Tribolium castaneum: one gene and its partner. The protein of the gene in region 2 interacts with the protein of the main gene of each other region in a pairwise test. Links are inferred from orthologs where the notes say so. Each region holds a gene or a part of one and is shown on either strand. Other genes may lie near its edges.

Region 1 (4,451 bases), on a different chromosome or scaffold from region 2:
ATAAACTAAGTCCGCAAGAATTGAAATTAACACGAATGCTGACTAAAGCGACGTACGACGCTGTCGTGAAAGACAAACTTGTTGTCATACCGGTTATTAGTTTTCTGTTAAAGGTAATGTCAAGACTCATGTATTTATTAAATAATGATTTTATGTTCAGGTCGTTCGTGATATGAGATTGTTACCAAACGCCTTGAACTTTTGGCAAGTCAAGTTGCTGTTTGCACAAATAATATCAACTCCCTTAGCTTGTAATTTAATTCAACCGGAAGTAATGTTGGCCATAAAGCAACAAATGTTAGAAGTTTTAGAAGATTGGGAACCTGGCTTGGCCCCCGCCTTAGAAGCGTATACAAGGGGCGCCGACTTGGCTTTTGATAAAGAAACCTTGAATAGGCTAGCCATGTATGTGATATTTTACGATATACCATTTAGGGAAAGTGCAGAAGGTGATCCATTAGAAGTGATGCTTAAACTTCAAGACAAATATTCCGTTAGTACCTTAGAGAAAATTATGAGGCTAAGGATGTGAAAGAAGCTGTATTTTTTATAAATAAATGTGAAATAAAACTAATTTCAAGGTTTAACATAATTTTTATTTCGAAAACTGGGAACATATCGTAATACAGACTATAAAAATACAAAACGTGTCACTAACACAATAAGGAATGAACTAAACGCATCGGTTGAAACTTAGAAGGAAAAGGGTGATTGTTGTTGATCGGCCATATTAGGAGTAGCGAACTGAATCTCCCCATTTGCTACAGTAACAGTGACTCCCTCCTCACCCTGAAACCTCAAATTACAAAACAATTTACCCACAAAATAACTCACATCGGCGAAATAATTCTCGATAATGTGCAAAGCCCGTTCGTAGACTTTCTCATTGTCGTGACTTTGCAAGGCCTCAATACCGTCCAAACCGCCACACTCCTCAATCATTATGGCCACTTTCTCGGCTTGATTTAACTTGGCAGCGGCCTAAAATCGACAATTAGACAAAATTCCAACACAAATTTTTTTTCACCGATAAAATGTTATTCAATCCCTCCAACACCACGATAATAGTCTTGCTATCTTTGGAATTCAGGAGATTACACATGGGTTTCAACGCCCCCATTTCCACAAGTTGCGCCAATTGGGCGGAATTCCCGCCACTTGTGAAATTAGTAACAGCCCAAGCTGCCTCTTTTTGCGATTTAAAGTCGCCCTAAAAGTCACGTTTTAGGAAAAATCGGACAAAGCGTGGCAACAATACGGTTTGTAGGACGTGAAGAAGATAAGGCAAAATCCCGGCATCTAGGACTTTTTGGATTTGCTCACTATTTCCGGCAGTAATGTTTGAAACTGTCCAGGCAGCTTCTTTGACAATGTTCAGTCTACTGTGTTGCAATAAACGGATCATACAATCTAAAGCCCCGGCATTGATCACCATATCAGTCTACCAAACGAAATTATTAATACTTTTAACAATTGATTGAGTGGCCTTATACCTGATGGTCGTTTCCGGTCACAATGTTACCAACGGCCCTCAAGGCCGGAGTTAGGACGGTACTTTCCTCACTATACAAAAGCATAACTAGGCGGTCAATTAAACCGGTGTCAAGCACCGCTTGAATTTTCTCATTGCTACCATCGGTTAAATAACTCAAAGCCCAGCACGTGTCGGCCAAAACATCCTTATCGTCATGCGACAAAAGTCTCGCCAAGACGGGTAAAGCCGGCTTGACTAACTCAAAATCGGGGTACGGATTTTTATTGCGGCAAAGATTAGAAATAACCCACACAGTATTGCGTAACAAGGACAAGGTAGTGTTTGGTTTGATTAAGTTGATAAGACTGGGCAAAACGCCGTAGTTGAGCACCAAATCGCGGCTCTCGGGCCCATCACCTGCAATGTTACCAATCGCCCAGATGGCCTGCTCCACGACGTCGATGCGGTTTGAGGAGAGCAGCTGTTGGAGCTTAGGAAGGGCGCCCTCCTGGACCACGGCTGCGGTCTGCTCGGAAGTGCCAGACGCGATGTTCGTGAGGGCCCAGCAAGCCTCAAACACCAGCGATGGGCTGTTTAAAAAAATTAATAAGATGCAAGGCTAGGCTCTCGCTTACTTGTGGGTCTTGCCCAGGAACTCGACGCATCGCGGGACAACCCCCAAGCGGATCATGTGGTCGATTGGGGGGTTCCGCTCGCGGCTGAGCATTTTGCGGCAGGCTTGGGTGGCCTTAAACTGGAGGTTCTCGTCAGGGCTCATCATTCCTGTTATCAGGTCATTAAAATGGGGCAAGTCGGGAGTGGGGTTATTACCCATCAAGATTTCTTCGGCAGACATGGTGATCAGCGACACGGAGTTGTTCTCCTGAAGGGGAGTTGAGGCCTCTTCTTGCAACGATATGTTGCGCCTCTTCAACAACTGGTCTTCCTTTTTTGCTTTCCGCAGTTCGATGGTCTGGCCGGCCCGTCGGCGGCGCATTTCCTACACGAGAAGTCTCAAAATCGCAAAATTGCACATGATTGATACTCACTTCACAGTCTTTTCCCTTGTTTTTAAACGAACGGATCCTGTTCTCGTCTCCCATTTTTCTGGAAGTTAGAAACGTGCAACAGGGTCACTGATAGGTGAAGAACAAAAAATTGATTTGATATTTCAAGGGCCTTTTTTAGGTTAATTCATCTGATTCGGGCATTGATTATCTACTCACCTATTATATTTAAACTAGGCACCAAAACTATTAAAACTATTAGTGAATAGTCTCCACAACCGATTAAAAAATAAAACGACAAAAATTCTACGGTCAAAATTTCCGTTGCAGTTCCTGAACGTCACACTGACAATTAATGACGGGCAGCCAATAACGAGCAAGCTTCACTTGGCCAATAGAAAAGCAGTCCCACCAAATTGGCCAATAGAATTATCAAATTTGGAGAATTATTTGAATATGAGTGGATGGTGCTTCGCGCCGATTTATAGCCAATCCAATTTCGGAAAATTTAAAATGCGAAGGTAAGATTGGGCCCAACTCACGAACAAAGAATTACCATTCTGTGAATTAAATGCCTTAATTTTTCGACATTTCACTTAAAGAGGATTAAAAAATAAATAAATAATACGAGTGCAAAAACACAAGTTTAAAGCTCGACGACTGACGTTATGCAACGAACGTATGCGAGTTGCATGCTTAGACCCTCGAGAATTGCTGATGACGCTGCCGGGATTGTAATGGATTGCCGGGAGTTAAAATACAGTTTTTTTTCCCGATCCCGAATTTTAAAAAGCGAGCGTAAACCAATGCGCATGCATGAGCAGCCGTGCCATTTGGTTCTATTTCTTGCCCATGTTGGTGGCGCTGAACCCACCAAATTAGTCACCAAAAGTTCACATGTCCATTGTTGTGCAAACTTTTTCGATTATTAATATTTCGCTTATAAAAAAATAAATCGGTCTCAAAAATGGCTCTTCACGTCCCTAAAGCCCCGGGCTTCGCCCAGATGTTGAAAGAAGGCGCCCGGGTAAGTCCTAATTTCCAAAATCGATCCCCGAAGTGACATGTGGTCGGCACAAGGGCCGGCAAATCGGCGTAAATCTCTCAAATTTCGCATTTTCTAGCACTACTCCGGCCTCGAAGAAGCCGTCATTCGAAATATTAACGCTTGCAAGGAATTTGCCCAGTCCGTGCGTTCGGCTTACGGCCCCAATGGCATGAACAAGATGGTGATAAACCACCTTGAGAAGCAGTTTGTGACCAGTGATGCCGCCACTATTATTAGAGAACTGGATATTGAACATCCCGCGGCCAAATTAATGATTCTCGCGAGTCAAATGCAAGATTCCGAGGTTGGTGATGGCACAAACTTTGTCATTATCCTGGCTGGGGCCCTTCTGGAGGCCTCGGAAGAGCTGATCAGACTGGGGGTCACGCCGACCGAAGTGGCCGAGGGCTATGAGAAAGCCCTGGAAAAGTGTCTCGAAATCCTCCCGAAACTAGTCTGTTACGAAATCAAGGATTACAGAAACTTGAATGAGGTCGTTAAAGGGATTAGAACCTCGATTCAGTCAAAACAGTACGGACACGAGGACTTTTTGGCTAATTTAGTGGCCAAAGCGTGTGTTTCAATCCTGCCCGAGGACACCACATTCAACGTTGACAATGTGCGTGTTTGCAAGGTGCTAGGTTCGGGTTTGCAAAGCTCGCAAGTTGTCCAAGGAATGGTGTTTAAGAGACACGTCGAGGGCGAAATCACTAAAGTGCAGAACGCCAAAGTTGCTGTTTTCAGCTGTGCAGTCGATATCATGCAAACTGAGACCAAGGGAACCGTTTTGATCAAAACCGCAGATGAGTTGATGAATTTTAGTAGGGGAGAGGAGAATCTCTTGGAAATACAGATCAAGTCAATTGCCGACACTGGGGCTAAGGTGATAGTGGCCGGGGCCAAGTTTGGGGACATGGCCCTG
Region 2 (3,726 bases):
GTTTCAGCGGAATTACGCCTGCATTTTGATCGATCTTGAGAAGTTAAATCACGATTTGCAGCTGTATCTGGATGATGTTCAGGCGCTCTGCCAGGAAATCGCCCCTGAGCCGAGCGTGGCGGCGATGCTGGCGCCAAGCCATTTGAGGGAAAAGTGCCGAGAAGAGGCCGCTGAAATTGTACAAAGACAGAATTCGATCATTTCGGCCGACAAGGATCCAGTTAAGAATAAATCGATTCTGGAACTCATCACCGATCTCACGGCTTTGATGTTGCAAGTAAAAAGTTTGGCCGATTCGGATCAAAACGCATACGAATTGCAAGTGCTCCAAGGCACGATGGAACAAATCAAGAGGAAGTTGACGCCAAGTAATCAACTAGTGTTCCAGAACTCCGTCGAAATTCACATGAAACACATTCAAGTCGGTCTCGGGCAAAATTTAGATAAAAAACTCGCCATAAATGGAATTTCCAAACTATGATACTTTTTTTCTTTAAAAATGCAGGTTTTTAAAGCAGAATGCTGTGCAATACTATAATGGCCACAATTTCGATTTACACGTCTCGTTTTATCTTACTGTTTACCGCGGGTTTTATTTATAATTACTGTATTTTTGTGGGTATTTCACAGAATGTGTATATTTTACTTGTGTAATTAATAAAAATGTATATATGAGGCACCATATGTAATTTTAGAACTGTTCAAATTTTTATCAAAATTGGTTTGAAAAAAAAAACGTCTACTTAGAAAAATATTTTATTGAGCTAATCACCCCTAGCCTATTTTTTGTGTTTCTGCAAAGTTTTCAACAACTCATCGGCATCTTCCGGACTTTTCACCCGCAATAAAATCGGCACGGGTGGAGGTTGCGTGTCTGGATTTGGAATACAAACTAACATAACATCCTTTTTCCCCATCCTTTGCATTGGGATACTTTCCGACAAAATGAAATTACAAATTAATTTTCCTAAATTCGTATCAGCGCGCACGATGAGTTGGACTTTCTCGCCGTTTGGGACTGGCTTGAGGTACAGAGTGCCCACGCCATGGTCTCCAAAAGTGCCATCCTTCTTCACAAAAACCTTGCATCTGATTGAATAAATGTGTCCCTCTTCTACCACTGGCGTAAACTCAACTTTGGGCGGCTCGTCTTCGTCTTCTTGCTCTTGGGGCTTTGGCTCATCTGCTAGTTTTATGACAGTGCTTGTGAATGAAAATTTGCCGCTGTCAGAGCCTGAATTACCAAACGAAAACGGTTGCGATTTAAAGGAGCTGTCGCCTCCTGATAGGGTAGCTGTGCTAGTGCTTGAAGTGAAACTAACTGTTGTGGTACTGGAGCCAAATGAAAATCCTGTGGATGCGGTAGAAGTGGCCCCAAATGAAAATTTAGGAGTTGTGGTTGTAGAGGTTGTACCAAAGGAAAATTGGGGCGCAGTTGTGGCACTAGTTGATGTTTCTGACGCTGCCTCGCCTTTCGCCTTTTCAAGTTCGTTGATATATTTATCGTAATCTTTGAAAATTGGTTGTAAGTTGATAAACGGGTTTGATGACACGTGTTTTTTTATCCATTCAGTGACACTTTCATTTAATCCTTTTAATTTGGCATAATATTCGTCTAATTTCTTGTCGGAAGTCTCTGCTTCTTTTTCCGTAGTTCCGTTGGTTTTACTAGTCTCGGTTTTATTTAAGTTTGACAAAAATCCAAACGTGTTGGATGCACTACTTGGCGTTTTACCAAACCCAGAAAAACCACCGAATGCGCTGGGTTTGCTATCGTCACTCTAAAAATTAAAATTGTTCGTAATCAAACAACACACATTAGAAACCGTACTGACTTGGACTGATGATATGGGGTTCCTCCTGCGGGCAACTTTTATAACTCTGTTCTTCAAAGCTTCATCTGAAGCTTTTGTAAACGTTCCAGCCGTCTCTGGTTCGTCCTCCCTATCCCAATTATCGTGATTTAAATCACTTGTTGCCGTTCTTTTAGCCATAAATGGAGAAACGAATTTGCGAGGTTAAGATACCGACACACTTCCAAACAATTTCACAAAACATAGACTATCACAGAATTGGCTTATTTAATGATTTGCATGTCGTGAGACGGAAAAATTCGTTTTAAGCACTTTTTTGGGTAAAATAATTTACAAAAATTGACAACCACTATGCGTGCCGGCTCGTATCAGGCAAACGCTGATTGGCGGGAATTTAATCACGTGACTACGAACTTAAAATTTGGCGGTATTTTTCCGGTGGAATTTTTTGCCAGTCGTAGCGGATACGAATCTCATTTTTTGACTTCTTTCCGGTGTTTGTTTTTAGACTGGTGTAATTGAAACGAAGCGAGACGAAAATTCCATAAAGTTTATTTAACCCTTTCACCAGAATTACAAGAATTTGTAATTTACATTTTGTGTATAAATAAAAAAAAAATATATCTATATTTTTGAATGAACTGAAGGAATGTAACATGTCGCCCTACTATCTACACTACGATAATTGCCTACGAAAATAAAATCCTTACTTCGTAAAAAAATTTAAATGAACTTAAACGTCCGAGTGCAATTTTGTTTAAGGCACTGCAAAATATATTGCACGAAATAAAATTACCATAAAATATAACAATAAATACTGTACAAACTATTTTGTTTCTGTCTCATGGAATCAACAATACACTAAAATGGAATGTATATATAAAATGTAAAACTTAATTCTAATTTATGTAACAATGTAATGAAGCTCCAACTATAGAGACTAAGCACTTGCTTTACAATATATTTTGGAAAATATCATGCTTGTAAATATACCTCTCTTCTTACTAATGGACGGATATGAGTTTAGAGCAAATCTTCAGGTAATTTTGCTTATAGGCAACCGGCAGGCACTTGGACAATTTCCAAAAGGGAATGAAACTAAACGGAATGCTCGTAAATGTACCCATAAAACCCTGAACTTGTTCAAAAACAAGAAATGCATCAACAATTTCTACAACAAATTATCACATACTCAATTTTTCCGTGTAAAACTGTATGAAACTTGAACTAATCTAAACTTTACAAAGTATGTCATAGTTTAAGTAAATCGAGCCTACTGATGACTTTTACTCAACAAATGCGAATTAAACTCGTAAACATTGCAGCACTGCTCTCCGCAGATATTGCATTTCCAAGGATTCGCGTCGGAGTGACACCCTTTATGCAAAAAGTACAAAGTCTGGTCTGGAAATCCGATCCCGCAGAAAATACATTGTAAACTAGACAAAGACCTTTTGCCCATCGCCCGCCACAGGGAGGAGTCCGACGGTTGTTCGGGCCCCGTCGAGGTGATAGCCCCATTGGTGGTGGTCGCCGTGTCACTGGGCGAAGTCTCAGGATTCTGGTTGGGACTCGCGGTGGAGCGCCCCCTTGGCGAGGAGTTCATCCGCGAGACGATCTTCCTCTTTAAATCGTCACGAAGTAAGCTCTTCAACGGAGACACTTTGATTAACGAGCTAAGGCTACTTGAGGTCGCTGTTTGCATTTGTACGCTTCCCGAGGGAGAGGTGCTTGGGTTAGGGCCGTTTCGTTTGGAAACGTCGTACAGCTCGTCTCCAGGTTCCTGTTTTATGGGGATGAGGGAAATTGAGGGCGTTATGTTCGTTTCTTGGTCTATTCTAAGGGAATTTGGTTGAATATGGCTGCTGGACGGAGCATTCGAATTGGAGTCGGCTGATTGAGGGGAGCCGGG

What was found.
Region 1: the proteins of Nup50 (region 2) and Pen interact in a two-hybrid assay, tested with the Drosophila melanogaster proteins (2 studies listed by BioGRID). The link is inferred for Tribolium castaneum from reciprocal best matches to the Drosophila melanogaster genes Nup50 and Pen.

What each region holds. Positions count from the first base shown.
Region 1 is NC_087397.1:4,706,545-4,710,995, reverse strand, and holds Pen (importin subunit alpha-5), read right to left. Parts: upstream 2,861-4,451; 5' UTR 2,701-2,860; intron 2,654-2,700; exon of another isoform or gene 2,611-2,653; 5' UTR 2,578-2,610; coding exon 2,524-2,577; intron 2,475-2,523; coding exon 2,110-2,474; intron 2,065-2,109; coding exon 1,494-2,064; intron 1,442-1,493; coding exon 1,259-1,441; intron 1,211-1,258; coding exon 1,028-1,210; intron 982-1,027; coding exon 835-981; intron 790-834; coding exon 694-789; 3' UTR 575-693; downstream 1-574. Other genes in the region: shtd (anaphase-promoting complex subunit 1), read left to right, coding at 1-113, 161-532; CCT8 (T-complex protein 1 subunit theta), read left to right, coding at 3,449-3,508, 3,606-4,451. UniProt on the Drosophila melanogaster protein: Binds specifically and directly to substrates containing either a simple or bipartite NLS motif. Promotes docking of import substrates to the nuclear envelope. Seems to act as a cytosolic receptor for both simple and bipartite NLS motifs.
Region 2 is NC_087402.1:5,415,151-5,418,876, forward strand, and holds Nup50 (nuclear pore complex protein Nup50), read right to left. Parts: upstream 2,209-3,726; 5' UTR 1,995-2,208; coding exon 1,836-1,994; intron 1,782-1,835; coding exon 780-1,781; 3' UTR 741-779; downstream 1-740. Other genes in the region: mip130 (protein lin-9 homolog), read left to right, coding at 1-481; zinc finger protein ztf-16, read right to left, coding at 3,088-3,726.